Linked DNA regions of Rattus norvegicus. The protein of the gene in region 1 purifies or fractionates together with the protein of each later gene. This does not show direct contact. Links are inferred from orthologs where the notes say so. Each region holds a gene or a part of one and is shown on either strand. Other genes may lie near its edges. The genes, in order: Wdr48 and Ppp1r9b.

Region 1 (15,280 bases):
TATGAGTCCCTCCTTTCCTTCCGACATGACTTCCCGTCATCAGGCTTGGTGGCAAGTGCCATCACCTGCTAAGCTATTTTGATGGTCCAGAATTATACTTCACCTGCTTGGACACATTCAAGTATGCGGGGTAAAATTCATACCCAAGACACTTTTTTGTACTAAACTTCAGAAAACCTCAGCCCATTCAAGTCCTGTGTAAAAAACATACTTCCAAAAAAGGAAACATTTGTGGCACAGTTATATTGTTTTCTGTTATATTGGTTACCTGATAAATTATCAAGTTATCCCTCGTGTCCATTGTGACTAGTTTCAAGAGTCTTGGGTATCAAAATTCTGGGGTATTCAAGGGTCTTGTATAAAAGCGTGTGGAATTTCCATGGAACGGATGCACAGCATCTATACATTCTAAACCATCACTAGGTGACTCCTCGAGCATCCTAACAAAATGTAACCGCTTGGTAAAAACTGTTCGCCAGCTGGTGGTGGTACAACGCCTTTAATCCCAGCACATGGGAGGCACATGAGAGTTTGAAGCCAGCCTGGGTGAGTTCCTGGAGAGCCAGGGCTACCCAGAAACGAAACAAACCAGAAACTGGATTAACAAGTAGTTTGGCAGATGAGTAGTCGTCTTTTTTCAAACGCTGTTAATCTGGGGTAGTTTGGATCCACGGCTATGGGACACACTGACCTCACAGACACACAGGGTGTGCTTTACTCTCACACAGCCTGGCACCGTGATTCTATCATTTTCACGGGGAAACATGTTTCTTGTAAAGGTGTCTGGATTGTGACTTTGCATCAGTGGGGAAGTGATTATCGAACGTTCTAAGGGGGGTCACAGCCAGCCAGCGACTTCCCAAATAGGGGCAGTGTAAATGGGTCTCTACTGCCCTCCAGTGGAAGAGCTGGACTGAGCACTTTTAGACCTGAAAATGCTCTGCGCTACTGATGCGCCCACGTAAAGAGGTAGAAGAGGCTGTTTTCTTCCTCAGCGTATTAGAGAGGAACAGCTGCTAAACGCCTCGACTTCTTCGACTTCTTTTCACCTGGAAGAGAAATTTCCAAGAGAGCCTTTACAACAGGTCTCTCTGACAAGATGAAACATCATACAATTTTTGACCTAAACATCTCCAGCATCTTGTTAGACTTTCTGTGTAGGAGAACCAACTGCCCATAGAGATTGCGGTGCTGGGGAACTGCATTTATCAAGTGGGCAAAATAACAATCAGAAAGATGAGATGTATCGCAAGGATGGGGAGATGTCTTGGTGATTAAAAGCTTTTGCTGCTCTTGCAGAGGATCAGGGCTCAGTTCCCAGCACTGATGATAGGCAGCTCGTAACTGCCTGTAACTCCACCTCTAGGAGATCGGGTGTTGTGATAGTGTGAATAAAAATGGCCTCCACAGGCTCATATATTTGAATGCTTAGTCATAGGGAGTGGCAATCTTTAGGAAGGATAGTAGGTGTGGCCTTGCTGGAGGAAGTGTGTCACTGTGAGCGAGCTCTGGGTTTTCCAAAACTCAAGCCAGGCCCAGTGGTTCTCTCTTCCTGCTGCCTGTGTATCTGGATATAAAACTCCCAGCTCCTTCTCCAGCATCATGTCTGCTGGTGTGCCACCACGTTCCTTGCCATGAGGTTAAGGGACCAAACCTCTGAAACTTGAAGCCAGCCCCAATCAGATACTTGCTGTTAGAGTTGCCTTGGTCATAGTGTCTCTTCACAGCAATAGAACACTGAGTAAGACAGGTGGTTTCTTCTGGCATCCTTGGACACACACACACACACACACACACACACGCACACACACACACACATGCATTCATACGTACACACACAAACAAAATAAGTTAAATCAGATTAAAGTGATACCACAAATGTGCCTTTTATGTAGTGTACAGAAGCTGAGCTGGCTGAGGCTTCCACAAATATTGGTCAAAAACCAGATTGTAGTGGGTGTAGATTTTATCACTCAAACTCAGAAACTCTGAAGTCTCCTTTTGGTTCTTTTTTTTTTTTTTTTTTTTTGTTCTTTTTTTCGGAGCTGGGGACCGAACCCAGGGCCTTGCCCTTCCTAGGCAAGCGCTCTACCACTGAGCTAAATCCCCAACCCCCTCCTTTTGGTTCTTATTCCACTACTGAGATTGCTTATACAACCTTGGACTGTATATCACTTTTGCTTTGTTTGGTTTTGTTTTGTTTTTTGATACAGGGTTTCTCTGTATAGATCTGGCTGTCCTGCAACTCACTCTGTAGTCTAGGCTGGCCTCAAACTCAGAGTCCCACCTGCCTCTGCCTCCCGAGTGCTGGGATTAAAGGCCTTGTGCCACCACCTCCCAGCCTGCACATCACTCTCCAGTGGCAGTCACCTTATGGCCTATCATACATCATTGTACCTTACTTACTAGAAGGCTGTGCTATAAGGAAATTATACAGTTTTTTGTTTCTCTGTGAATCTGATAGCCAAGATGAGCTTATACTAAACTATTTGGCTAAATGGGTAGTGAAGTGCTATTCTAAACAAACAAACAAACAAAAAATAACAAAACCCACCAGTGTTAGTGACTTCTCTATTCTGAAAGAAGTTATTTTTGCTTGTGGTTCCAGAGGACTAAGAGCCTGTCGTGGCAGGGATCACGTGATGCATGGTAACAGGTAATGTACAGTCTTTGGCAAGGCCATGCCATTTCCCCTAACAGTGCTCCCAACCAGGACCAAGTATTCAGATGCCTGAGGCTTTGGGGGACACTGCTCATTCAAACCACATCATTTTTTCCTTTTTTTATTTTATGTGTATAGGTATTTTGCCTGCCTATATGTCTGTGAATCACGTATGTGCAGTAGCTGAGCATGTCAGAAGAGGTGTTGGAGCCCCAGGGACTGAAGGTATAGACAGCTGTGAGCTGCCATGAGCATGCTAGGAAGAGGAGCCACTGCTGTTAACCTCTGAGCCATCTCTCCAGCTCCCTAACACGCCATTTTTTAAAATCCAAATTATACAGTAATCGCTAATAGAAATTGGTTACTTTAAACCAAGGTTCTGCATGGTTTTGTGCTTTTCTTTTATTACGTGTTTATTTATTATGAACCTGGGCCTGGAGCATACAAACTAGTTACCACTGAGCTACATCATCAGTCCAATTTCATTTTGAGAGGCAGTAATTTTTATTGTGCATCAAGCATGTTAAGCACCAGATGACCATTTTAATATGGTGCCTTTCGTTTACCCTTCGGCAGTTTCATATGTGTGAACAATATGCCTTGATCGTCTTGATCATAGGCACCCCCAACTCAGCTCTTCTCTTAGCCTAAGGAACCCCTCCTACTCCCTCCAGGAAATCCTACGTCCTACTCCAACTCCTCTAGGAACCCTCGATACATCTTACCCTGCTGTCCTCTCCTTTTCAGTGTTCAGAACTCAGAGTTCATTCAGCGCTGAGGGTTGGAATGTTTACTGGTCTTCTGCAGATAACCACAATGGCAGCGAGTTCCCGGTGCAAAGGCCACATTGTCTAAAAGACAGCATTCCACGGGCGCTGCCCCTCCCCCAGCTCTTACATCCTTTCTACCGTTTTTTTTGGGGGGGGTTGTTGTTTTTTTGTTTGTTTGTTTGTTTTTTGTTTGTTTGTTTGTTTTTAAAGAGTTCCAGGGGCTGGAGAGATGACTCAGTAGTTAAGAGCACTGACTGCTCTTTCAGAGGTCCTGAGTTCAAATCCCAGCAGCCGCATGGTGGCTCACAACCATCTGTAATGAGATCTGGTGCCCTCTTCTGGTGTGTCTGAAGACAGCTGCAGTGTCCTCATATATAATAAATAAATAAATAAATCTAAAAAAAAAAAAGAGTTCCCTGAGCCTTAGGGTGGGGTTGATACAGATGCCTATCTAGGGCTCAGTCTCTTATTCTCTGCATCTTAAGGCTCTGTATCAAATGTTGCTCGATGCAAAACACCTCTGGGCATGGCTGAGGACGGTATGGATTTATGGAAATACACCTAAATTTCTAGAAAGAAGTTTGATAACGTGTATCGAAACAACAGTAATAGGTTCCTCCCTGTGGCCATGATGCCCTGAGCCTTGAGGTTTACAGAGTCAGGTTTATAGTGACAAGCTCCCTCAAGCCCAAAAGTAGTTGGTTGCCCTCATAATCGTCACGCCACTACTACAGCAGTGGGCACATCTTGCCTGGCAGGGCTGTCTGCTGGTGTATCGTGAATACTTACTCTTCCCTAGCAGGCTGCATAGCACCTCCGGCCACTATGAAAGCTGGTCATCAGAGAGAAGTGTTTAGGTCAGTTCCACCTTGATGTCCAGCTACCTAAGTATACAGTGTCTTCAGCCACAGTGTCCTACTACTTAGTTATGGTGGGCAACCAAGAGCAACAGCTATAGCTTGTATTGTTTTAGGGGCAATCATTTTCCATTCATGCCAGTGTATCTATGTTTGAAATTCTGTATTTTAGATTTCTATTTTAACGTGTGTAAGTGTTCTGCCTGCCTGTGTGGGTGTGCTGCCTTCATGCAGTACCTGTGGAGGCCAGAAGGGGGCGTGTGGGCTGGTGTTTTTATAGCAGTTCATGAGTTCCCATGTGGATGCTAAGAACCAAACCCAGGTCCTCTGCAAGTGCTCTGAACTTCTCAGCCACATCTTCAGCCCCTTTGTATTTTTTAATTAGTTTACAAAGGTAGTGGGTTTCCACAGGGGTTATGCTACTTTGGTCATGTTTTTGCCAAACAGATCATTTAAAATATATTGTCTTCTATATATGCTAACATTATCTCACTTAACAGCGTAAGATCCATATTACAGGCACGAGTCTGTAATTCTAGCGCTTGAGAGTCTGGCTAAGATCCTGAGGGGGCTGGAGGACTGGTGAGATGACTCACTGGATAAAGGTGCCTACTGCCAAGCCTAAGTTAGAATCTCAAGGCCCCCATAATAGAAGAAGAGGACTGACTACCAAAAGTTGTTCTCTGACCTCCACAGAGTTTGAGGCCAGCCGAGACTACACAGCGAGACCATGCCTCAAATAACTAAAGAAACAACAATATTTTTATTATTTTAAAAACCTATAAATATGGAGTAAGTTCAGCGGTTAAGCACTGGCTTAAGTGGTTGGAGTATCCCCTCTCTTGAGTGCTTCCCTCTGCATGCAGGAGCTGGGCGGCTCTGAGGTTCAGTCACACTGAGGACGACCAGGACCGGCCCTTCGGCTCCGGCTCCATTAGCGTTACCGCCCGCCCTCTGCTATTTCTCCCCCTGCGTTTCCCCTCGCAACCAGCCCGGAAAGCCTACGCCCAACCTACCTTCTACCCAACCAAAGAATAGGACGGGACATCCGCCGGTGCCGCGACTCTCCCGGAAGTGACGTCGGAGTGTCAACATGCAAGATGGCGGCCCATCACCGGCAGAACACAGCCGGGCGGAGAAAAGTGCAGGTATGGCGGCCCGGCTCCGCGGCCTTGGCGACGCTGCCGTCCGGTCGGGGCTCCCCGCGGGCGGGCGGACGCCTCGGGCCGCGACCGGCGGGGTTCGACGGCCGGAGGATGGCGGGGCGGGGCGCAGCGGCGCGAGGGGTGGGGCCGCGGCGCCAACGGCCTGAGGTGGTGGCGGGCGGACTGGGCGCGCGGGCCTCGCGAGCGGTCGCGGGGAACCGCCGTCCCGGGGAACCGCCGTCGGGCACCGGGCCTGCGGCGGCGCCATGGGCCTACTGCCCGCTCACCTGCCTCTGCTCTCGGCCGCCTTCCTCCGGAACAGCCGCGACCCGGCGGCGGAGGCCGCGCGGCGCCCGCGGGTGGGTGAGGCTGGGAAGCTAGGGGCCTTGCGGGGGCGTGGCGGGGCCGGGTCGCACGTGGGAGCTCTGCGCTGGAGGAAATGACAGTTTCCCTTCCTTTGCAGTAGGCTTTGCCTCCGACCTCCACCGTCCTCACTATGCATTTTCCAGTCTTCCTTTTAAGTCCTAGTCTCCCTAACGTCGGAATCTCCAGTGATGAGTTCGATTACCCACACCATGGGTGCTTTGGGTTTCCCCAAATCACTTTGGTTTGGTGTACATTTTGCTTGCTGCCTTTTGGGATGGGAGTGAAGCTCATTTGGCATTTTTCTTCCAGTCCTGAGCAAGGTTCAAACCTCGTGCACCACATCAAACCAGGCCTCCTTAGTACTGCCTGTACCTCCAGCCCTGGTGTGTGTTTGTGTAGGGAAGCCAGGGAAATCAGAAATCCAAGGTCATCATCCAGTTACCTACCAAGTTTGAGATCAATCAATCTGGGCAACATGAGACACACCACCTCAAGAAAATGCATTCAGTCATTACGTAGACTAAGTGCATAGACTGGCTTCAAAGAGGGGAAGAGGCTGAAAGGGTTTAGCAATCAGTAAACACTCCATAGATTGAGCTCAGTGTTCAGAAGTGAGGGCCAAAGGTGAGTAACCCCAGCATAAGGCTGTAAAGATGTGACATTTTCTGGATAAGTGTCCTCTTTATACTACTGAGCTCTGTTTGTTGGCCCTGTGGACTCACTAGATGGTTGTTTTTTTTTTTTTTTTAAGATTTATTTATTATATGTAAGTACACTGTAGCTGTCTTCAGGCACACCAGAAGACGGCATCAAATCTCATTACAGATGGTTGTGAGCCACCATGTGGTTGCTGGGATTTGAACTCAGGACCTCTGGAGGAGCAGTCAGTGCTCTTAACCGCTGAGCCATCTCTCCAGCCCCTCACTAGATGGTTGTTAAATGTTAAAATTGGACTAGGGAGATGGCACAGTCTGGTAAAAGGCCTGTAGCACAGACATGAGGATCTGAATTTCTGTCCCCACTTAAACATCTCTATCCTCTCACTTGAAAAGAAGTCTGGCATGTTGGTTGGCACTTGGAATCTCAGCTCTAGGGAGGCAGAAGCTGAGTGTCCCTGAAGCTTGATGGCTAGCTAGTCCTGCTGATCAGTAAGCCCCAGGTCCTGTGAAAAAACCAGGTGGAAGGAGAGTGAGCAATGAGGAAACGCAACCAGCTCAACCTCCAGCCTCCACATGCATGTGCACATACGTGTCCTTATGCCCCTGCACGTGTGCACATGCACAAGCACATGCATGTACATGCACACTCAAAAATAATGTTTTAAGGATGAGTGAAGTGACAAGAATCTAAAATTCTTTTAGCTTTCCCTGAGTAGATGCCACTTTTCTTTAAAGGGGCATGATTCCTGATGGCACTGAAATAACCCAGCCTCCAGGCCAGGGGGTATGAACTGAGTCCAACTGAGTTATAACTTTGCCATGTTCCACACATGAGGACGGTGGCTCTTAATAAAGTAAGGATTATCAGTTCTTTCAGTTTGGGGGCAAAGACTTAAAAGACAACGGCTGGCAAGATGACTTGGAGGGGCAAAGTGTTTGCTGCCAAGCCTGAAGACTTGAGTTTGATTCCTGGGACCCACAGAGTCCCTGTGAGAACTAGCTCCAAGTTATCCTTTGGCTCTAGGGGAGTACACCTCAGTGTAGAGCACATGCCTGCCTTTCACAAGGCCCTTGACTTCTGTCCTTAGCATCTTTTTAAAAAAATTTTTAAGACAACACAACAGAGAAAAGTGGAGAAGAAAATGAGTCACAGCAGGTACCAAAACAGAAGTGTTTAAATAGCCAGGTATTGGCCAGGGCTTATGGGGATTATAGCTGGCCAGAGGAGGAAGCTAGAATCTGGTGTTGAGCCCTTTGTTCAACAGCAAGCCAATTGTGATTGGCACGATTTCCTATCAAAAGCCAAAATTAGCCTGCTAAAGAGAACGCTCAGAATTTGTCCACTAGGTACAGTGCAAAGTTAGAAGCCTCCGAGACTGATTGCATCTCCTATTGCACAGAAGGGATGCACGCATGCGGGTTGCAAGAAGAACCCACAAATGGTACCAAACTATAAGTTGTAGTTGTCCTTCACTTTCTCAAGAACAGCAGCGATGTGGAGCGTCCTGTGTCACTTCTCCGCCTGCTCAGTCTTTACTCATTCAGTAGCTTGGTGCTCCTGCAGGAGGTGAGGATCCTGCCCTGTGTGTTTTAAGTTGTTTAAGATCCTCTGACTTCTGCCACTAGATGTAATAGTACCTCCCAAGCTGTAGCAACCAGACCCTCTCCAGATAAAAGTTTCCTTTAAGGGCAGGGTTGAGAGCTGTGCCTGCGCTTTTCCAGTTTGCTACCTGACCTGACTTTCTACAGAGCCATAGCATTTACCACTTTGTATCTTGCTTTGCCAAACTTAGAAGCAGCCCCTTGAGCCCACAGTTCCTTACTATAAAAATGTGTTCTAACCTTTCATGGTAGCATACTCCTTTAATGCCAGCACTCAAGAAGCAAAGGCAGGCCTGATGTACACACTGCGCTCTAGGTCACCTAGGGCTATATATATAGCAAGGCACTTGTCTTTAAAAGAAATTTTCTACAAAGTCACATATATGTCTGTAATCTGTCTCTACTTCTCCAGAGTATTTATGGTAGGAATGTTGCTATTGTGGGAAATAAAATATTAAATACCCATCTTTGGAAATTTCTATGTAGTTGTCAAACAAAATATAATATATTCATGTAGTGGGTTACTTGGCAATAATCCAGCAAGACTAGTTCACAGAAACAAAGTTTAGGTCAGGTTTGTCCTTCAGGTACGTGTTGCTAATCCCTGGTTTAGAAGAAGGCAAACTGTAGTGTATCCTAAGAAGTTAGTGTGTCCTACATGTATGTGATTGTAGACATGGGTATACCACAGCACACATGAGATCAGAATAACCTCTACTGTCCATATTCACTTTGCATCTTGTTTGAGACAGTCATTCACCAGGGCATGAGCTTCCAGGACCTCTGCCATCCCCACCTCCCATCATACTATGTAAGCACTTGGGTTCCAGATGTGTGCTGCTTCAGCTGGTGTTGCATGGTTTCTGTGAATTCTGTCTCCTGCTTGTGCTTAACAGAACAAGTGAAGCTTCTTACCCACAGAGCTGAAATACTGTTTAAGAATCAGCTGACAGGGGGTTGGGGATTTAGCTCAGTGGTAGAGCACTTGCCTAGCAAGCGCCAGGCCCTGGGTTCAGTCCCCAGCTCCGAAAAAAAGAAAAAAAGAAAAAAAAAAAAAGAATCATCTGACAGAGTTACAAACAGAAAGTCATAGCTTATGGATCAGGACAGGAGGGTAGATGTAGGATAATGGTTATATTTGGTTTTCCTGGACTAGATTAGACTAACCTGCCGTCTGGAAGTAGCCTTGTTCAGGAGCTGTATGTCCCTATTAACAGGATATTTTGGTGACAAAATTTGAGTTAGGTTATCTGAGGATAGAATGTGCACATTTGGGAGAGAAAGGAACTTTGTAAGGTATGATGATGTTCTGTCTTTGTAAGGGTTTGTATTGCATGGGTGAACTGATTTGTCATGAGTATCTATGGTGTATTTCACTGTAAATTTTATCTTAAATCAATGTATATAAATAGTAAAGAAACAACTAGACGGTGACACACATGCCTACAAGAGAAGTGTCATTGATGTGTTGCTTGTTTTGAAAGATAAGAGAATAAGATGAATCAAATGAATGAATGGATTCAATAAAGCAAATGTCGACAGTGTAAACTGAAATGTATGTACAATAGGTATGTGCTATCTAATTATATAATTCTTTGAAACAGCAAATAGACTCTAAAGGTTAAAAACTGGTCATAGTCAGCAGTAGAAGACGCAGAAGTGGTGGTACTGGTGGTTGGAGACTAGACTCAGTATGTAGCCCGGTCTGCCTGAGACTCACAGAGACTGACTGGCCTTCCTCTGCCTGCCATGCTGGGCTTGAGGGCCTGTGCCACCTGCTAAGCAGAAGCAAAAGTTCTGTTCTGGGGAGAAGGCCTAGCTTGAGGTGACTGAAAAGGCTTTGGCGACAATCACAAAGCCATCTAGATTGAGAACGTTCCAGTGAGAAGATCTGATGCAAATGTCCTGAGGTGGGAATGAGGCCTGTTTGTGGAGCAGAAAAGAGACTGACTGGGTTTAGGGAAAGAAGTGTAGCCATCAGCTGAGGTGAGAAGACTACACAGGAAACATGGGGGTCATTGGTTTTGGAGGTGCTCTTATTCTGGTGTCTTTTAGATACCCAGATAGAAATGAATTAGTGTTCAGCCTTGAAGAACTGAGTTTGCCCTGTGTTCCCTTTGTGATGTTAGAATGCTTTGGAGTTTCTCTTGGGAGTGTGGGGAACACTTCAAAAAGAGCTTGTAGGACTTTGTTCACTCCTTCCTCCATGTAGGTCGTCAGGTTTGGTACCACGCACCTCTACGCATCAGCCCACCCCCTTCCCTCTTTTGTTTGCCTTGTTTTTTAAAATTCAGTCTCTCTACACACCCTGTCTTAGAGCTCACTGTAGACCAAGCTGGCCTACAAATCCTCCTGCCCCTGTCCCCCAAGAGCTAGGTATAAAGGCATGCACCACCTTGTCTAGTCCTCTCTTTTGTATAAAATACCCAAGGCCATTTCTTTTCTTTTCTTTTTTTTTTTTGGTTCTTTTTTTCGGAGCTGGGGACCGAACCCAGGGCCTTGCGCTTCCTAGGCAAGCGCTCTACCACTGAGCTAAATCCCCAGCCCCCCCAAGGCCATTTCTATATGAAAATTATTTTGTTGTTGTGGTGTGCAGAAGGGGCTGCCATGGGAAAAGTCTGGGAAAGAAAGCCGGCAGCTAGGCTGAAGAGATGGCGCTGCCATCAAGAGCACTGACTGCTCTTCCAGAGGACCTGAGTTCAATTCCCAGCAACCACACGGTGGCTCCCAGCCATCTGTGATGGGATCCCATGCCCTCTTCTGGCAGTTGTTGGGAGCAAGAATGGAAGGAGGTCTGACTGACAGGCAGGCAGTTGTGAAAGGAGGGCTACAGGGCCGCAGCCACAGCAGCCGCCGTGAGTGGGGAAGCATGCTCTTCCCTAGTCTCTACTAAAGAATACCAACCTGGCGACTGGCCGGCCAGAGCCTGTGAGACCCTTGGCAGAGGGTACCCCAGAGCCCAGCCTGGACTCCAGCCTTACACGGGAAAGTAGAGAATGCCTTAGGCAGTTACACGTGCAGCCATTTGTAATGACTGTGATGGAAGCCCTGCCTCGTTCCCTTGAACAGGATGGTACCGAGACGAAGTTTGGTTAGGAAAGCCATTACTTCATATGCAAACCACGAAAGGAATTTTAAGTGATCAGAGAAAGAAATGTCTCTCTCTGATTGTCTGCAGTGACTACCAGTGACCCTGAGGACATTTAGGTTCCAGATGCTGAAGGAGGGTCTGTCTCTCCCACAGAACTGAGTCAGATAGGGCTTGCACTGGGGCTTGTCGGTGGGGGCTACCCTGTTATTTTTCTCCTGTCTGAGTCCCTTTAGTTGGCTCTTTTCAAAAGTGGTTTCGTACTAACAGCCTGGCTTCCTGTTACCTTACAAAGCTCACATTGTGCCTGCCCCTTTTTGCAGGCGGTTGAGTGTAGTCCTAGGAGTTCTCAACTCTGCCTTCCAACTGTCACAATGAAATTATAAGGAAGTAACTGTTCACTTAGATGCTTCTGCCCATGTTTCTCTTGGCTTGCCATTCCTTCCAGTTAACCTCTTGCCCTAGAACACTACCCCAGGAGGACTTCTTTGCTCCACCCACAATCCTTTACATTTAAAACTGTACCTGGCAGCTGGTGGGTACTTAGTAATTGTTTAGAGTATTAAATCCCAGGACTGGAAGATGGCTCAGCAGTTAAGCACATAGTGCTCTTGCAGAAGACTCCACTTGGTTCCTAGGACCCATGTCAGGTGGTTCACAACCACCTGTAACTCCCAGCTTCTGGCAGCCTCTTCTAGCCTCAATAGGCAGTTCATCACATGCACAAATGCATATATATATATATATATATATATATATATATATATATATATATACCCATAATTAAAATAAAAATAAATCACATATTAAGCTCTGGGCTTGTTTGTTCCTGTCTGTGTCTAGACATTTTTTTCTTTTTTAAATAATCACAATGAGTTTATTGGGATGGTTCCCACTTACCTGGATTCAGGGGTTTTGTTTCTTCCCCTCTCCTGAGAAGCCCCTCCTGAAGCCCTGCTTCCTCTTCCACAGGCTGGCAGAAAACGGTGGAGGCCAACACACAAGACTAGCATTTGTTCGTGGCTAACAGCCTGGGGTTTATAGTGTCCTGGACATCTCACAGCAGGAACTGGGGCTCTGCACCAGGCCCTTGGATTTCTCCTGTTCTTGTGAAACAAGAGGCACATTTTGTCCTGCAAGACTTGAATAAAATTTATGTGAAATGTCTTAAGAACCAATCCATATATAAATTCTATTTCTCTCTTTAATGACCACATAGAAATGTCAGTAGAGTACATTTTCTAAATCTTTATTATTATTATTGGAGTGGGGATCACATGCCGTGGTACATGCAGAGGTTAGAGGACAACTTGGTGAGTGGGCTCTCTGCTTCCACCTTATATAGATTCCAAGGGTCATATTCAGGTCCCCAGACTTGTGTGGCAAGCACCTTTACCTGATAAGCCACATCTTGCCAGCCTAATGTATGGTAGTGTAACTTTTCCTTATTAAAGATATTGTTTCTATTTTTCATTGTTCTATAATTTATTGAAAAAAATACAATAGTAGAAGCTGGGTACGGTAGCACATACTTGTAGTCCAACACTTGAGCAGCTGAGGTGGGAGGATTAGGAACTCAAGACCATCCTGAGCTATATAGAAAGTTCCAGGTCATCCTGGGCTACATGGTGAATCATAGTAAAAGTTATAAAATAATAAAAAAGTCCTTTCAAAAGTAAATAGAGATAATATGGATTGTATAAAAGACAGAGGTTCAGGGCTGGAGAGATGGCTCAGCAGTTAAGAGCACTGTCTGCTCTTCCAGAGGTCCTGAGTTCAAATCCCAGCAACCACATGGTGCTCACAACCATCTATAATCAGGTCTGGAGCCCTCTTCTGGCCTACAGGCAGAAAGCTGTATGATGTATATATACATAATAAATAAATGTTAAAAAAGAGGTTCAGTTATTAAATTCCACTGTCCAAAGATGGACTCAAGAAGAACAGAGAAAACAGACAGCAGCATCCACACAGGCCTGGTCTGCAGACATGAAGCACCACAACTTTAGATTGAAAGTGCTTTCCAAATGCACAGCAAAGAACAAAAATCCAGAAATGTCAAAACACAAGAAGATTCCAAAAGCCCGGGGTAGGCTAAGGTGTCCGGGAGAGAAGACAGATGAGGCCTTGTTGATGGACAGTGAGGGTGTGGAGTTTGCTGGTGACAGTAGGTGCTACACTAAAGGAGCTTTGTACACAGACGTCCATCTTTGTTTGTTCCACATGACAGAGTCCCGGCCTTGCACCTGCCAAGCGCCTTGCGCTTCCTAGGCAAGCGCTCTACCACTGAGCTAAATCCCCAACCCTAATCTAAACTTCTTTAAATGTGAGGGTAGAAGAGAGAGCTTTCCAGTCATGCAGGGATTTCTACTCTTCAGCAGTGAGTGAGGCAAGCTTCTCCATCTGCTCTGGGCTTGAGGGAAAGCTTGCTCGAGTGTTCTGTCACCCGTGGGCTTTATGTGCACTGCAGTCATGCATGCCGTTGGAGGAGGATGTGCTGGGGTAAAGCGTTCAGATGCACAGCACAGGACACCAGCCATTTCACATGCTTACTTGTAAGGGTCTACAGATCTTGTCCTAGTGTCTGTCAGCCAGCGAGAGGCAAAAGAGGGTTGGTGGGGGTGGCTTCTTCCCATGTTTCCTTTGTTTTCTGACTGACTGTCCTGCCTCAATGGGATATTGGATATATTCCAGTATACACTGTTGAAAGGTTGGTGAAAATGGATTAGACAAATCAGGGCAGAGAGGAGGCTTGGAGACTTAGGTGTCTGGGTCATTAGCAGCAAGAAGACCTCTGCTTGTCTCGAGCTGGGCTCAGTAACGCTGTTCTTCTCACAGCACTTCGGTCCTCCTGAAGTAAGATAAAAACAAACTACATGAGCTTGAAGTTAGTTTGGCACTGCTAGGCCACGCCTCACCATGGCTTGGCTTTTGTTGGCCCATCAGGTTTCCTATGTAATTCGAGATGAAGTGGAGAAGTACAATCGGAACGGAGTCAATGCCCTGCAACTGGACCCAGCACTCAACAGACTCTTCACAGCAGGTCGAGACTCCATCATAAGAATATGGAGTGTCAATCAGCACAAGGTAAGGCAGGAGTCGTGCATTTGGGTTAACTCGTATCTTGGACCAGTGGCTCTGTCTGATGGAGCACCTCTCCTCAGTCCTGGCTTTAATCTCAGCACTGAGCTCCTTAATATATTGTATAAAGACATCACCATAGTCCTGTAAGCCTGTGAGAAAACACCTCCAGGGAAGTTTCACAAGTGTTTTTACTTAACTCAGACTCGGGCGCCATAAGTTAGTTTGCCGTAGGGGTTCCCCGCACAGAGGACTGAGAGTACTTGGCTGCTGCGACTTGAGACTCTCCATGGAATTCTGGCTTAGTTATGAATCCAAAAAGTCTCTGGATAACAGTGCTGAAAATAGAAAAACAAAATGTTGAGTGTGTGTACTTTTACAAAAGCGATTAAGGACCTCCTAACACGCTAGGGTCTTATTGGCTAATGTGGTAGGTATGAAGCAGCAAGGGCTACTCTCTCCTACTCCTCAGGGCTTCCTGAGGCTTTACTGCTACTTTTGCAGTGCTGAACATCAAGTTCTGGGCCTTGTGCATGCTAGACAAGCACCCTTCCACCACTGGCCTACGCCTCAGTTCTGAAGGGCTTCTGCGTAAGCAGGGAGGACACTCGCATGCGTGGGGAAGGAGAGTTGCACAAATGGGAGGAAGCTCTTGGGGTTTGTGAAGGTTACACTGTGAATGATGTAGAAAAATTGGGGAGGGGGGCATTTACTGACCTCTTATCTGTGCACCTAGTCCACCCCTGCTCACCACTCTCTGAATTTCCACAGTCCCTCCCAAGACTGTTAGCACTTAGAATCCCGATGGCTAAATGGCTAGTGTGGCAGTGAATTGGAGCTTAGACTCACTTCAGACTCCTGATCCAGAACCTGTTTAAGTCTGCCTTTTAGCCTGCTCTACAAACCAGTGTTCAGGGCAGAAAGAGGGTACTTGGCATAGCTGCCGGTAAGGTTTCGACAGTGGATTTGAGTTCTTGAGCAGGTGAAGGCAGTGTCAAAAGCATGAAAGTAAGAACGTGTGTTTTGTGTTTGCCTTTGCACCCCTGGGGA
Region 2 (15,280 bases), on another chromosome or scaffold:
AAGGATCGACTGGTTTCTTCTGCCTCTGGGAATCTCGGCCTCGCCTCCGTGCCTGTGTGAAACACCAGGAGTTCAGACACTGACCTTGGAACTGTGTGGGGTGGGCGTGCGGTAGGGTGTCAGCAGATGAGTGGTATTTACCCTCAGGAAAGGGACTTGGAAAAGAAAGATGGTGAAAGCTGCATCCCGGTGCCTCAGCTGAGTCTCTGGATTAACCAACTTTAGGGTTTTTCCCACCCTCCTTCCTGCCTCTTTTTCTTTCTTCCTTTCTTTCTCTCTTTCTTTCTCTCTTTCTTTCTCTCTTTCTTTCTTTCTTTCTTTCTTTCTTTCTGGTTTTTTGTTTTGTTTTTGTTTTTTGAGACAGGGTCTCACTATGTAGGTCTACATGTACACCAGGCTGGCCTCACACTCATAGAAATCTGCCTGCCTCTGCCTCCTGAGTGCTGGGATTAAAGGCTTGCACCACCCCTGCCAAGCTTCAACTCTAGGGTTTCTTGATATAAAAGATAATCCCTTTTGCTCAAACCACTTTCTGTCCCCCCCCTTCCCTTCCTCCTTGTGTGTGTATGTATATGTATGTGCATGTGTGTGTGCATGCACACAGTATAAACCTTGATCAGAGGTCAACCTTGGGTTTTGTTCCTCAAAAGTCATTTCTCTGTCTCTCTTTCTTAGAATTATTTACTTAATTTCATGTGGATAAATGTTTTTTCTTGCATGTATGTGCACCGTATGTGTGCCTCATGACCTCAGAGGTCAGAAGAGGGCTTTGAAATGGGAGTTATGGATGATTCTGAGCCACTATATGGGTGCTGGGAATTGAACCCAGGACCTCTGGAAGAGCACTGAGTGCCATTAGCACTGAGCCATCTCCTTTCCTGAGACTGCCACCTGGGATTTATTGATTAGGCTGGCTGGTAAGCCCCTGGGAGGTCTGCCTGTCCCTACCTCTGCAGCACTAGGGTTAAAAGCATATGCCCCCCACTCCATGGGCTTTTTATAGCGTTCACCAAAAATAACTATAGGATAGCTGAGGATAGCAATGGAAGTCATTTATCCAGAAGGAACCAAGGGGACAGTGAGCCCAGGACACATGCTTTACCTCAGTCAGGCCATGCACATTAAAGTGCACACTGCTTAACATCCAACAGACCAGCAAAAATAAGAAACCCCAGGTAGCAATATCGCTCTGTGGTAAAGCACTTACCTAGCATTCATAAGACCCTGGGTTTGATGTCCAACATTGTAAAAGACAAGTAAAAAGCCCCAACAGGAGAGGCCAGTTCAGTCAATAAAGTACTTCCCTCGCAAGCGTGACGACCTGAGTTCTAATCCCCAGAGACTCACACTTAGAAAGAGGAGGTGGTGGCTCATGCTTATATCCCAAACTGGGGAAGAAGTGGAGACTTCTTTGGGGCTCACTGACCAGCTAGTCTCGTCCAAGTGATGAGCTTCAGGCCAAGGAGAGACTCCATCGCAGAAGAAGTGGATGGCCTCGGTGGGGATAACACTGAGGTCGTCCTCTCGGCTCTACATGATTACACACCCTATCGTGTACACACACATGCACACAAATAAAAGAGAGGGTAGAGGCTGGCCATAGTAATCCACCCTTTAATCCTAGCCTAGGAGGAAAGTGCAGGCAGAGCTCTGAGTTTTTGGCCAACCTAGTCTAGACAGTGAGTTCCGGGTGAGCCAGGAATACACTCTGAGACCTTGCCTCAATCAACCAATCAATCAATCAATAGAGCAAATGTTGGCCAGATGTGGTCTTGTACAGTTGCTGGGGTAGGAGGAAGGATGGAGACTCGGCAGCTGCAGAGAACATCATGGCAGTTACAGCCAAGTTCAAAGTTCAGCCACCCAATACCTGAAATTCTGCTTCTAGGTAGACATCCTGAATGGGTTCAGACAAAATCCCAGGATGTTCTCTGCACGCCTGCCTAGATCAGCAAGAACAACAAAACAAAACAAAACCAGATGCAAACCAAACACTGTCAGTAGGTGAACTGGCAACAACTACATTATGGTTTATTCAAGTGATAAACAGAAATTAAAATGAGCAAACCACATAGGGCCTGTGATGGTTTGTATATGCTCAGCCCAGGGACTGGCAGGATTAGAAGGTGTCACTGTGAGTGTGAGTTATATGACTCTTCTTCTAGCTGCCTGGAAGTCAATCTTCCACTAGCAGCCTTCGGATGAAGACATAGAACTCTCAGCTCCTCCTGCACCATGCCTGCCTGGATGCTGCCATGTTCCCACCATGATGATAATGGACTGAACCTCTGAACCTGTGAGCCTGCCCCAATTAAATGTTGTCCTTTATAAGACTTGCCTTGGTCATGGTGACTGTTCACAGCAGTAAAACCCTGACTAAGACAGAGACCCACTGTCAAAAATCTTGAGTGGGGAAGGTACAAATGGCATATATAGTATTGCTATTGTTACACAGGCTTTAAAGACTCAGAAAGCACTACTATTTCATGAACACGTAAATGCATGGGAAAGAGGTAAAATTATGGGCTGATGCTTGCCACAGTTTATGTAAACCCAAGCAAAACAAGCCAGCCACGAAAGGACAATTTCTGTACGATGCTTACATAAGGTACCTAGAGGAGTCAAGTTCACACAGATACAAGTGGTTGCCAGGAGCAGCAGTGGGAGTGGCCAGGGAGTGCAGTGCCAGGAGATAGTCTCCACAGGGAAGATGGGAAACATCTTTGCAGTTTGGTTTGGGCACTCTCTCTGTCTGTCTCTCTGTCTTTCTCTGTCTCTCTCTGTCTCTCTGTCTCTGTCTCTCTCTCTGTCTCTCTGTCTGTCTGTCTGTCTCTCTCTCTCTCTCTCACACACACACACACACACACAGACACACACACACACACACACACACACACACACACACATATGCTGGCCTGGAGTTAGGCAGGTAGGCTAGGCTAGCCCTGGCATCACAAGCCTGAGTCACCGCTCTGGGCATGATTTTCTCTTGGATTCTGGGGATGAGATGCAGGTTCTCACCCTTGTACAGCAAGTATTTTTTTTTCTTTTTTTTTTTTTCGGGAGCTGGGGGCCGAACCCAGGGCCTTGCGCTTGCTAGGCAAGCGCTCTACCACTGAGCTAAATCCCCAACCCCATACAGCAAGTATTTTACTGACCAACTCACTTCTCCAGCCTCCCAGATTAGTATCATTTATATTCACAATATTAAAATGGGCCAATACTGGCATTTGTAAATTCCGCTGCAATGCAATTCTCTGTACTTTCCTTATTTTCTATGAAAAAATTTCAAACTAAAAGCTAAAAAGAAAGAAAGAAAAAATTATTACAGAGTAAGAGTTGGGGGAAGGAGGATTGCCCCCAAGGTAACACGATTGCTTATGTTCTACTCTCTGCCCCCAACCCCTCCCGTGGCTAAGAGAAGAGGCTAAGGCAGAAGAGCAGAAGCAGCATTCTGGAGACTGAGCCAGTGCTAGGTCCCACGGGACCCAGCAGAGCCTGGTAGAGCCAGTCAGGCGGGACATGGCCAGCAAAGGCCTATGGGAGAAAGTGACTCTGAAAGTTGTCTCTTCCTTGCACACAGTCCAGAAAGCAGATGAAAAAAACAGTTGGCCATCAAAAAACAAAAAAACAAAAAACAAAAAACAAACAAACAAACCAACCACAGAAATGTGAGTTCTTAGCAGTCGGAGCTCCTTGGATTTGCTGATGACATAACGCATTGCCTAATCTTTCCTGTTCCTTCTTTCTTCCCCTTTGACCTCTGTGCATGTCTGCAGAGCTCCAATGGCTACAACTACAACCTAGCAGAATACATAGTTACAGCTGAGCCAGCTAAATACAAGCTTTCCTTTAAAGCACCTGAGGATTTGGAGGTATCTTTGCTGTGTCCCACCCCCTCCCCCCACCAACACCCCGTACCCCCACCAACACCCCGTCCCCCCCACGCACACCAGACCCATGCCTCCCTAGTCTCCAAGAAACATGTGATCTTTACAAGGTTACACAGGGTGCTAGAGTACAGTGTGAGACTGATGGGAAGAAAGCCAGTAGCCAGAAAGAAAAAAAGAAAGAAGAAGAAGAAGAAAGAAAGAAAAAAAAGAACAGGCAGTAGCTATCCCCCAGCTGTGGAAAGAAGGGACCCACAGTTCCTCTCTCTGCAGGTGCAGTGATCGACTTCAGGAATAAAAGACCCATTGGGAAGTTTAGAAGAAAGGTCACCTTCAAAAATTATCTCGGGGCAGGGGTGTAGTTACGATTTGTAACATTTTCCTAGCATGCTTGAGGCCCTGGGTTCTATCTGGATATCAAGAAACAATTCAGAAGGGTTTGGAGAAGCCATGGGCAGGAATAGAGAAGAATTTCACATAATGGATCTTGAAAGGCAGAGGCCCAATGTCTCATGAAAATAGACTCAGGCGCTGTAGACACCGGAGCTCATTCTCAGCCTCATACCTGCCCACACTTTTGCATGCACACCCAAATCCATGCTCCAATACACGTGCCTTCCATGGCAGTGGCAGCCCACACTCGGAACTCCAGCCTCTGTGCTTTCTGCATTCAGGATCTCTTTAGTGCCCTCGGCAACTCCTTGAGGTTGGTATTTTGTCTCCGGCTTACAAATTATGAAGAGATCTGGCAAAGGCCTTGAGCTTAGAAGTGGCAGCTTGGGGGTGTTCTAACAAATGCGGTCTGATTTCAAAGCCATGTTCCAGCCTGTGCCTCACAGGAAGTAGGAGACACCCTGGGTCACCCATGGTCGGAAGATGTCAGACATTCAGGTTTGAGCATGTTAGGAACTGAGAAACCCAAAATAACTAGCCTAAGGTCACTAAGCAAACGGGAGGAGCTAGGATTCAATTCAGACCTGCAGAATCCTAACCGGGACTCTAAACTGTATGACCCATTGCTCTCTCCTTCCTGTTCCCAGGGAGTTGGAACCCTGTAGGACTCTAACTCCTCACCACTACCCTACCCAGCCACTGCCATGCTGGGTGAGCTCTCCTATTTGGTAATGTGAGTACACAAGCATATCCTCCTTGGATCCCAGAACTCGCTCAAGGCCCCAGCCAACAAAGGAGAGGAACTGGGGTGAACGTTATTGACTAACCATAGAGCAGCCAAAGGGCAGGGTCTAGATCAGCTTCTTCACGGATGACAGTGGCCAGGAAACAAACAAACAAACAAAAACTGCTTTCAGAAGTTGTCTGAAAGGCCCAGGGCTGGGAAGAGCAGCCAGCCTTGGCACCCAGCCCATGCCTGAGCCCAGGGCGCTGAAGGCTGAGACTTATCACACATCAGACTCTCTCCACCCGCCTTCATCACCATCTTTGCTGTTTGTTACACCTGGCACTTAAAGCCAGCAAGCCTCCAGGCATATCATCAAAGAGCACCTTCGGAGAGGGCCCTCATGAGAAACAAGGACGTTCATTCGGGCCAGGAGAGAGGAAGGGTTATCACTGCCTGTTGCCGTTTCTATCACTTAGCCACTGCTGGGGAGGCTTCTCCTCTATACATCGGGCTGCTGGCATCTCCCAGGCCTCAGTTTATCCCCTGGGAGCAGGGAGGAGAAACGTGACTTCTGCAAGGTCAACTAGACAATAAGTGGTATAGCCAAGACCTAAAGCCTGGATCCTGGTTGGGGACTTAGCTCAGCGGTAGAGCACTTGCCTAGCAAGCGCAAGGCCCTGGGTTCGGTCCCCAGCTCTGAAAAAAAAGAAAAAAAAAGGGGGGGGGGAGCCTGGATCCTGGCTCGACTTTGGGAACTGCTCCACTCCCCTCTCTATACAGGACAGAGGAACGGAGGAAACTTCCATCCCAAGACCACCAGGAACATTGGCCATGGTATCAGCGGTTTCCTCCACGTGAGCCCCGGGGAAACCAAAAGTTTCAAATTATCCTGGGATGCTAAACAGGCGAGAATCTGTGAACATTACAGCCTGAGGAATGAAAGTTTACCTCAGACAGGCAGGGGCAGGATGGAGGTGACACCCCGGGGCCCCACCCATCTCTTAGGCAGATTGTATAGTATCTGCCTCCAAGGAAAGAGTGATGGTAACACAGTTACCTCTCACTCCCTTAAAGCCTCTTCAGAAATTCCAGCCTGGGTGTTGCTCAGCCATCTAGGAGCCCATGAAATAATAATCTTTACTCATTAGCGGCAGTCGCCCAAGCTCCAAGCTCACCGTACTTTCTCACATCCCCAAAGTCCTTAAAGGAGTTTTACTCTGACAAATCCGTGCACAAGGGAGAGCTAAGGGTAACCATGAATCCAGTTCCTCCTAAATTTCTGCCAAGGGTGTTGGGAAAGGGGCTAACAGCTGGTTCTCAACCCCTCCTCCCACCTGGCCAGGAGTGAGTACAGACCCCTTGGGCTAGGGCCAGTTAAAAATGACTCACCACAAAGGGTGTGGGAGATTCTGGGCAGAACACCCAGGGCCTTGGGCCCTCCTCCAGTCCACCAGGGAACTCTAAGAACACCCGCTCAGATCCCCAACTGGCAACGGGGTGAGCAGAAGGGCAAGGGCATCGCCCAACCACCACAGTGGGGGCCCGGGATGTAACACAGTTGCTAAAATGCTTGCCTAGCAAGCAGGAAGCCCTGGGTTAGAGCAATTGCTCAAGCCTGTAATTCCAGCACTCAGGAGGTGGCGGCAGTTGAATCAGAAAAGTTCAAGGTCATCCTTGGCTAAATGTTTAGTTCGAAACCAGCACAGGATACTGCAGATCCATTCTCAAAACACAAGCAACCAACCAACTGCCATAGTCGGGTTAGGGTGGAGGGCTCAGGCCCCAGAATTGAATTTGAAGTCCTAAAGCTTGTTCAGGAAGAGGGCTTGGCTTCTAAGATGGGTCAGAAGGTGAGAAGGCACCTGGATGGCTTCTTTACCCTGCACAGATCCCCAAATGCAGAACTGGGGAGGGATATAAGTCTCCTGCCCACTGGGCAAAAATGTAGGGGCATCTGAAAGCCTGAGATCTGTGTTCATCTCCGGCTCCAGATGAGAGCCAAAAATCTTCCCTCTCCTGGCACACTGCACTAGGGAGCCAGTCCAGAGGTTCTTGGCTCCTCCCCATCCCAATCTTCAGGGTTCCCAGGCGGTTTCCCCAAGTCCCATCCCCCATGCAGGGAGCTCTTTCGCACGTGCTATGGGTTAGTGTCCCACAAAACCCACACACGGTGAACGGAAGGGTAAGAGGTTCCCTCCATGAGCACGGCCAGGCCAACCGGAGAGAGGGAGAAAACGGGAAGAGGAGGAAGAGGATGGAGGGGAAGAGGGCGGGGGAGGAGGCAGAGGCCGCAGGAAGGCCTGAGATGCAGGAAGCAGCTGGGGCGAGGGGGGGGAAGCTTTGTGCCTGAGTTGTTTTCTGGGTCCTAGTGTCCACCCTGTTCAGTTCCTGGGAATCTACCGACTGACTGGAGCTACACAACTAGACCTGAATATTGGATGGATCCTCACTGCTAGGTTCCAGATTATTGGAGAAGGATCAAGGGCACAAGGCCTCTTGTTGTGTATGTGAGGAATGAAAAAGCTCTAAAGAAACTGAGTTTTGTTTTGTTTTTTTTGTTGTTGTTGTTGTTGCTGCTTTTTTTTTTTTTCTTTTTTTTCGGAGCTGGGGACCGAACCCAGGGCCTTGCGCTTGCTAGGCAAGCGCTCTACCACTGAGCTAAATCCCCAACCCCGTTAAGAAACTGAGTTTTAAAGATGGAATTTTTGCCCCGGAGATTCCCCTTCACCAACTTTGGGAAGTAGTTAGAAATATGTGCTTTGACCTAGCACCCAACAGTTTTGATGCTGGTAGCCCTAAACACTCTAAGGACCTTTAAGAAGATGATTAAGGGCCCTCCCCACAAAACCCCTTCACTTTGTGGGAGGAGAAGACCAGCTCCCAGACACACACACACACACACACACACACACACACACACACACAAACACACTTGCACACAAGTGACCAGAACCTCTAAATCCGAGACCCAACGTAGAACTCTGAGTAGAGAAACTTTGACCCTAGGCCTCTAGAATCATTCCTTCCAACCTCCTGCAACACCTTCCAAATCTGTTTGAGAGGAAGGTTTGAAGGCCAGGATTCTACACCCTTCCCCAAGTGGGCAGGTTTAGAACAACATCTTAAGACTTCCAAAGGCAAAAAGCAGCTTTGGTTATCTCCTGACATTTGGGTGATGTAGCCCCTACCCCCACTCCATCCCTTTCATTTCTCCTCCCCACAGAGCACCACAAGATTGCTGGGCCAAAGTTTTACGTCCTGAAAGGTGCAAAAAAATGTCTATGGGGAGTTGTTAAAATGAAGAATCCCAGGTCTTGCCCCGGAGATCCCCCTTCACCAACTTTGGGAAGGAGTTAGAAATATGTGCTTTGACCTAGCACCCAACAGTTTTGATGCTGGTAGCCCTGAACACTCTAAGGACCTTTAAGAAAATGATTAAGGGCCCTCCTCAAAAACCCCTTCACTTTGTGGGAGGAGAAGACCAGCTCCCAGACTGCTGTGGCTAGATGGCTCCCCGCCCCCAGGGTTAAATGAGGGGACGCCTATGTGGGTTGTGAAAAGCCGCCGAGTTTGGGGTGGGAGGGTTGAAGAAGAATAGCCAAGGTCCGAGAAGCTGCGGAAGGCTGTCCGCCAACTATGAGTAGGAGAGACCAGGCGACAGGGTGGAAGGGGAGGGCTCACAGGCTCCGGCCCCGGAAATCCGATCCCTTTAGGACCCAGTGGTACCAGTCCCCCAGCGGCGGCGGCGAGAAGGGCAGCCGCTCGGTCTCCGGCAGCCGCGGTTCGGGCAGAGCTAGAGAAAGACCGAGGCTCGGGGCGCGGGGGGGAGGGAGGGAGGGAGGGAGGTGCGGCGGAGCGGCCCGGGTTAGCGGAGCAGCCACGGGCGCGGGGATGCCGGGCATCCCGAGAGCCAAGGCCCCCGGCCGGAGTAGGGGGCGCCTGCGCCGCCAGCGCCGCTGACACCGCCTCGGAGGATGTGAGCCGGTGCCGCGGCCGCTGCTTCGCGGGCTGGGCGCGCGGTCCCAGCGGCTCCAGCCAGCCTCCGCTTCTTTAATTTGGGTGGGGGCGAACGCACCAGGCCGCTAGATCTTTGGAAGGGGGCTGGCTGTCTTTGGCAGCTTGGTTGGGGGAGGCGACCCACACAGGGCGCTCGGAGATTTTTTTTTTTTAAAGCAGGGTTAACTGTTTTTTGGCAGCTTGATTTCTGGGGGACTCTATAGAAGGCCTTTCGGGATTTCTTTCTTTGGGGGGAGGGGGCGGTGGTCCCGACTTGGCCAGCCGCCTGCTGGAGGGGGACAGCGGGGAGCAGGGGGATGCGAACCCGGCTCCCCCAACCATGATGAAGACGGAGCCTCGGGGGCCCGGGGGTCCCCTCCGGAGCGCCTCCCCGCACCGCAGCGCCTACGAAGCGGGCATCCAGGCACTAAAGCCTCCCGATGCTCCCGGGCCTGACGAGGCACCCAAGGCGGCCCACCATAAGAAATATGGCTCCAACGTCCACCGCATCAAAAGTATGTTCCTGCAGATGGGCACCACCACGGGGCCGCCGGGTGAGGCAGGCGGCGCCTCAGGCATGGCCGAAGCCCCACGGGCGTCCGATCGCGGCGTGCGCCTTTCCCTGCCGCGGGCCAGCAGCCTGAACGAGAACGTGGACCACAGTGCCCTGCTCAAGCTGGGCACCAGTGTGTCGGAGCGCGTGAGCCGTTTCGACTCCAAGCCCGCGCCCTCGGCGCAGCCCGCTCCGCCGCCGCACCCGCCGTCCCGGCTGCAGGAGACGCGGAAGCTGTTCGAACGGAGCGTCCCCGCGGCCTCGGGTGGCGACAAGGAGGCCGTGGCGCGGCGGCTGCTGAGGCAGGAGCGCGCCAGCCTGCAGGACCGGAAGCTGGACGTCGTGGTGCGCTTTAACGGCAGCACCGAGGCGCTGGACAAGCTGGATGCTGACGCCGTGTCGCCGACGGTCAGCCAGCTCAGTGCGGTCTTCGAGAAAGCCGACTCGAGGACCGGCCTTCACCGTGCACCCGGTCCCCCTCGGGCCGCGGGGGCGCCCCAGGTCAACTCGAAGCTGGTCACCAAGCGGTCCCGGGTGTTCCAGCCACCGCCGCCGCCTCCCGCCCCGTCGGGGGATGCCGCGACAGAGAAGGATCGTGGCCCCGGAGGGCAGCAGCCCCCACAGCACCGAGTGGCCCCTGCCCGACCTCCGCCAAAGCCGCGGGAGGTACGCAAGATCAAACCGGTGGAGGTTGAGGAAAGTGGGGAGTCTGAGGCTGAGTCGGCTCCCGGGGAAGTGATCCAGGCCGAGGTGACCGTCCATGCAGCCTTGGAGAATGGCAGCACCACAGCCACCACAGCCAGCCCTGCACCCGAGGAACCCAAGGCCGAAGCGGTCCCCGAAGAGGAGGCGTCGTCGTCAGTGGCGACACTAGAGAGGGGGGTGGACAATGGCCGGGCCCCGGACATGGCACCCGAGGAGGTGGATGAATCCAAAAAGGAGGACTTCTCAGAAGCGGACTTGGTAGACGTGAGCGCCTACAGTGGACTCGGGGAGGACTCTGGGGGCAGTGCCCTGGAAGAGGACGATGAAGAAGATGAAGAGGACGGGGAGCCCCCCTACGAGCCGGAATCAGGGTGTGTGGAGATTCCTGGGCTTTCAGAGGAAGAGGACCCAGCCCCGAGCCGGAAGATCCATTTCAGCACCGCACCGATCCAAGTGAGTGGTCCCCTTGGATGCCCCCCCCCCAGCTGCCCTTGCCACGTGCATGTGGTTGCTCCCACCCAGACATCCGTGTTTGGCAGGCTGAGTCAGCCCCTGCCACCCAGCCGGGTTCCCAGAAGTTCCCACAGTGAGGGAGGCGTGGGGGAACTTCCAGCTGTTTGTCAGAGTGGGAAGGTTTTCAGGTCTGTGATTGTGAAGGTGGCCTGCTGCGACCTGCCCTCAGGTTCCTAGCCCCGCCCAGCATCCCTCCCTGCCCTGGGACACCTGCTCTCTCTTCCTCCCCCCCCCCAGACATTCTTTCTTCTAGAAGCTGCCAGAAGCTGGGACTTGGCTATCCTGAAGGGGTGTGGGACGGGACGTGTCTTCGGGATACTGTTCCTATACAAACCCTGCTGTCAGGAAGAGAAAGTGGGGGAGCTTAGGGGCACTTCCTGCTTCTCCATGTGTGAGACTGGCTCTGTCTGGGGTGAGAGAGAGGGGAGCTAGGAACTTCCCAAAACAAAAATACAAGGGAAGGCCGCCCTTTTTCCCCTCCTGTACCCCCACTCCAACTTTGCAGAAGTGAGAGAAGGAAGCAGGGATGAGTTGGTCCACTGCCATGTGACTGGGCCTGAGGGAAAGACGCTGCACCTTAGGGTCTGTGCAGGGCCAGCTCCCCATATCCAAGGTTGCACAGGAAAGGGGCATCTTCTGTAGTCCTTGAAGGAGCAGGCCCTACAGGAAGAGGGTGGTGAGTCTGAAGTTCCCCTAGGGCACCTGGCAGACTTTTCATGCCTATAGCCTTGGGACTCCTCTCTCTTTCTGTATTTTCTATTTACTCTTTTAAAGAGGCTGGGGGCTTGCTTTGTGGGGAAGGGAGTTCAGCTGCTCTCCCCCCCCCCTTCTGCGCTTTTTCTTACACCGCTATTGCTGATTGGTTTGTGAACTGTGCCTGTCAGTGCTTTGAGATCCTCTGAGTAGTGGTGGTAGAGAAAAGATGTCCCCTGGGGAGAATTAAAACCAGGAGACCACTCCCATTTCCCACTGCTCTGTGAGCCCAGCTGGCACATCCAGATTTCATGGTCTTTTCTTCCCTACCCAAGCTCTACTGAGCCTAGCACCTGGCCTGCCCCAGCAGGAGTATAACAGCACCAAGTACTTTCCTTGGCCTAGACCCTGCTCCTCCTTGCCCTCTGAGGCCAAACCCCATGTGTTTGCTTGCAGTTTCCATAGCTACCCCTGGACACCAAAGCTACCCAAGTTTCTCTCACTCTCCACCTCTTCCCTCTCCCCCCTCAGCCCCCCAGGCCAGCAGAGAGAGGTCCAGAAGGTTAAGGGTGGCCAGCCTCTCGCCCCTCCCTGCCCAGGGGTTTGGAAGACTCTTCCATGCCCTGTTCCCTGTGGAGGCAGTGGGATCCAGGAAGGAGTAGAGGCTGTTGGGAAGGTGTTAGAGGTAGCTGCCCCATCCCCGTGGGGTTTTTGAGCAGCCCCATGCCCTCATAGAAAGGGAATGTGGTCTGGGCCTCTGTCTATATCTGACGCCTTACCCTGATTTTTTGGTAAAAAATAGCATATGATTTGGAGCAGTGCTCTGGACTCCCTGGTGACTCCGAAGCAAGCCGGCCACTGGCGTGAGAGCCAAGGCAGTGCAGAGGCTCCACGTGTCTGACTCTTGGCCTTACTGGGGCTTTCGTCCTCCTCAGCCTGGCCAGGGCCGTAGGCTTTTTTTCTCCTCTGCCACCTCCACCCTGATTCTGAAGCCAGGGTTCTCTGCCCGTCCCTGACCCAGTTGTCACCATTATGGAGGTCGGAGTATCTGCTCAGGGCAGAGGATATGATTCCAACCTGTCAGCCGAGGAGATCGCTGAACCCAGGGCCTTCTGATAGGAGGAGTGACTGGTGGTCCTAGGCCTCTGAGCCTGAGGCCTGCCTGGGCTTCCCACAGTGGGCAGGATACAAAAGGTGAACAGGTTGGGGACAGAAGACAAGGCCCAGATCAGGCCAGTGGAGATGGGTTGAGGCTGGAGGATACTGTCTCTGGGCACAGGGTAAAGGCCAGAGGCCTCAGATGAAGAGATGGGACAAGGCCAGTTTGCTGACCCAGACTTATGCCATTCTTTATCCTAAAGCTTGGGATACCTTTGCAATAGGGAACTGAGTCACTTGTGACGGGCTAAGTACAGCCCATCTAGAGTCTGGTGCTGTCCTGCTACTGGGTAAGCAACCTCTGTGACCTTGGGTAATAGATTATATGTGGACTAGAGAGTCTGTTCCTTCAAGGCTGGGACCGCTGGCCAGATGCTGGGGAACAGTCCGTTGGCCACTGGATGAACACGAAAGGACTGATCCGAGTGTCCGATCAGTAGTGTCAAGGGCTTTAGCTGGGTGAGCATGACCACCCCAGCTGTGCTACTGGCTGGTCCTAGAAGTATCCTCTCTCTCGACCTCCTGCCGTGGCAGTGGACCTCTGGGATGAGACTGGAGGTTTGGATGACATTCAGTAAGCCCCAACAAAGGAGTAACCCTGCCTACAGGGTGCCCACGAGCGTGCTCCTAGAGCAGAGGAGGGCCTGGCACAGATCTTGCTGGAGACAGTGTCTTCCTCCAATCTTTCTGGCTGATAAGTGCTGCCTCCACCTCTCCTGCCCCCCACTTGACTTCGAGCGATGCCAACAATGTCACGGCTAGCAGTAAAGCCAAAACAAAAACAAAACCCATCACGGTTCCTCAAACGAGCATCAGGGACCCACAGAGCCCTGTCTCCTTTTCACTGATCCTATGAAGAAGTCAGAGGTAGACACCTAGAAGGAGAGAGATAGCAGAGGGGCACAGGGAACGCTGTACAAGACAGACAGGCTGCCACTGCACATGATCCTTGGTTCCTTTAAGGTCCCAGTCTTGGGGCCTCTGCCTGGCTCTTCTGGTACCTGCAGATAGGGGTATTGTTCTTCAGGGGCATAGTTATGGTGTGTGGGAGGGCCATAGGGGCTCCTCTTTCTCCCCCACTCTTGCTCTCTGAGGCCTACCTGGGGATTAATGGCCTTCCCTTCTCCATGGAAGTAAAAGGAGGTTCTCTGCTTCCTCCCTGGCCCTCTTGGCCTCCACTTCAGCAGCTGGGCGGGGAAGGGTCCCGGTGCCTTTCCCTCTTTGCTCCTTGCCTCTTTCTCCCCTCCCCCTCCCCATCTGGCATCCTCCAGTGTCTTCTCCATCCTTCTCCCCCTCCTCTCTTCCTGTCTTCTGCTCAGCCTGTTCCTCATCTGTGTCTTTGTGTCCACCCTCAGCTGTCTGGCTCTCGGGTCTTGTCTCTTCCTTTCCCCCTGCCCTGGTATTGGAGATTCCCAGACCTTGCAGTCTCCCCTAGAGTGTCCGTCCGGTCCTACCCAGACTAGACCATATGGAACAGATCTTTCACTCTCTGGACCCTGGGCTCTAGAATTAGGAAGCCCTTTGCTGAGAACTGGATTCGTTGTGAGGTCAGTGTCAAGGAAGGGCCTCTGGAAGAAATGGCATGGGGCTTCAGGCAAGTCAGCTGGCCCAAGGGCCTTCTCCTGCCAGTGCATTCTCTGTGGCCCTCTGAGAGCTGCTCCTCCCCAGGTATTCAGCACCTACTCCAATGAGGACTATGACCGACGCAATGAGGATGTGGACCCCATGGCGGCCTCTGCGGAATACGAGCTGGAGAAGCGAGTGGAGAGGTTGGAGCTGTTTCCTGTGGAGTTGGAGAAGGGTGAGAGACCAGGCCAACCTAAGGCATACGCTGGGATCTTCTGTGGTGCTACCCTCTGTCCTGCCACCCCTGCCACGTGTTAGGCTGCTTAGCCCCAGCACCTGCTTGACTTTCTCGGCATCCCATGTCAGCACCAATAGTCACTGGTGTCTCCAATGTATTACTTGGTGTACATCTCCTAAGTACTGTGTAGGTGATCCTGGGCGCTGTTGGAGGCACGGAGACAGATAAAAGCAGGCTCCCGGCCAGACGGCTCCTCTAACTTCAGCCTTACGTGCCGTCATATGTGCCGGGAGGAAAGAGAGACCATGTTTGATAGAGCCTCACCAAGGAAGTACGCTCTAAAGTGAGCTCTTCAGAGCTTAGCTTTAAAGAGAAGCCCTGTGGAAAGTGGGGTTGAACAGAGAGGTACACTCAGCGTAGGATGAGCACGTGGCCGGGGTGGCATGGGCCATGGCGAGAGCATGGCCATTTCTGAGAGGGATTGGGAGCTGTGGTAGGGACGGGGAAAGCTATTCTAGAAAGTTCACAGTGTCCAGGCAGTGGTGGCACATGCCTCTGGGAGGCAGAGGCAGGCAGATGGATTTCTTGAGTTCTAGGTCAAACTGGTCCTACAGAGTGAGTTCCAGAGCAGCCAAGGCTATATAGAAAAACCCTGTCTTGGGGGTGGGTAGAGAAAGAAAAGCAAAAGAAGAAAGGGAAAAAAGAAAAGAAAGATCACTGTGGCATGGGTCCAGGGAGGGTCACAGTGAATGACGGTCTCCCATAGCAGGTCAGCAGTTGCTTAGTGAAAGTGGATGCACCAGGCAGGAACAAGCCTGGTGGTCACTTGACTTAGCGGAGCCCGGAGC

Evidence for each region.
Region 2: the proteins of Wdr48 (region 1) and Ppp1r9b purify together in Homo sapiens (affinity purification with mass spectrometry; 3 studies listed by BioGRID and IntAct, with this or other methods). This does not show direct contact. The link is inferred for Rattus norvegicus from reciprocal best matches to the Homo sapiens genes WDR48 and PPP1R9B.

Annotation. Positions count from the first base shown.
Region 1 is NC_086026.1:128,494,351-128,509,630, forward strand, and holds the start of Wdr48 (WD repeat-containing protein 48), read left to right. Parts: upstream 1-5,370; 5' UTR 5,371-5,389; coding exon 5,390-5,437; exon of another isoform or gene 5,438-5,614; intron 5,615-5,662; exon of another isoform or gene 5,663-5,700; coding exon of another isoform or gene 5,701-5,793; intron 5,794-14,095; coding exon 14,096-14,236; intron 14,237-15,280. UniProt on the Homo sapiens protein: Regulator of deubiquitinating complexes, which acts as a strong activator of USP1, USP12 and USP46. Enhances the USP1-mediated deubiquitination of FANCD2; USP1 being almost inactive by itself.
Region 2 is NC_086028.1:80,426,067-80,441,346, forward strand, and holds the start of Ppp1r9b (neurabin-2), read left to right. Parts: upstream 1-8,833; 5' UTR 8,834-9,346; coding exon 9,347-10,717; intron 10,718-14,296; coding exon 14,297-14,429; intron 14,430-15,280. UniProt on the Homo sapiens protein: Seems to act as a scaffold protein in multiple signaling pathways. Modulates excitatory synaptic transmission and dendritic spine morphology. Binds to actin filaments (F-actin) and shows cross-linking activity. Binds along the sides of the F-actin.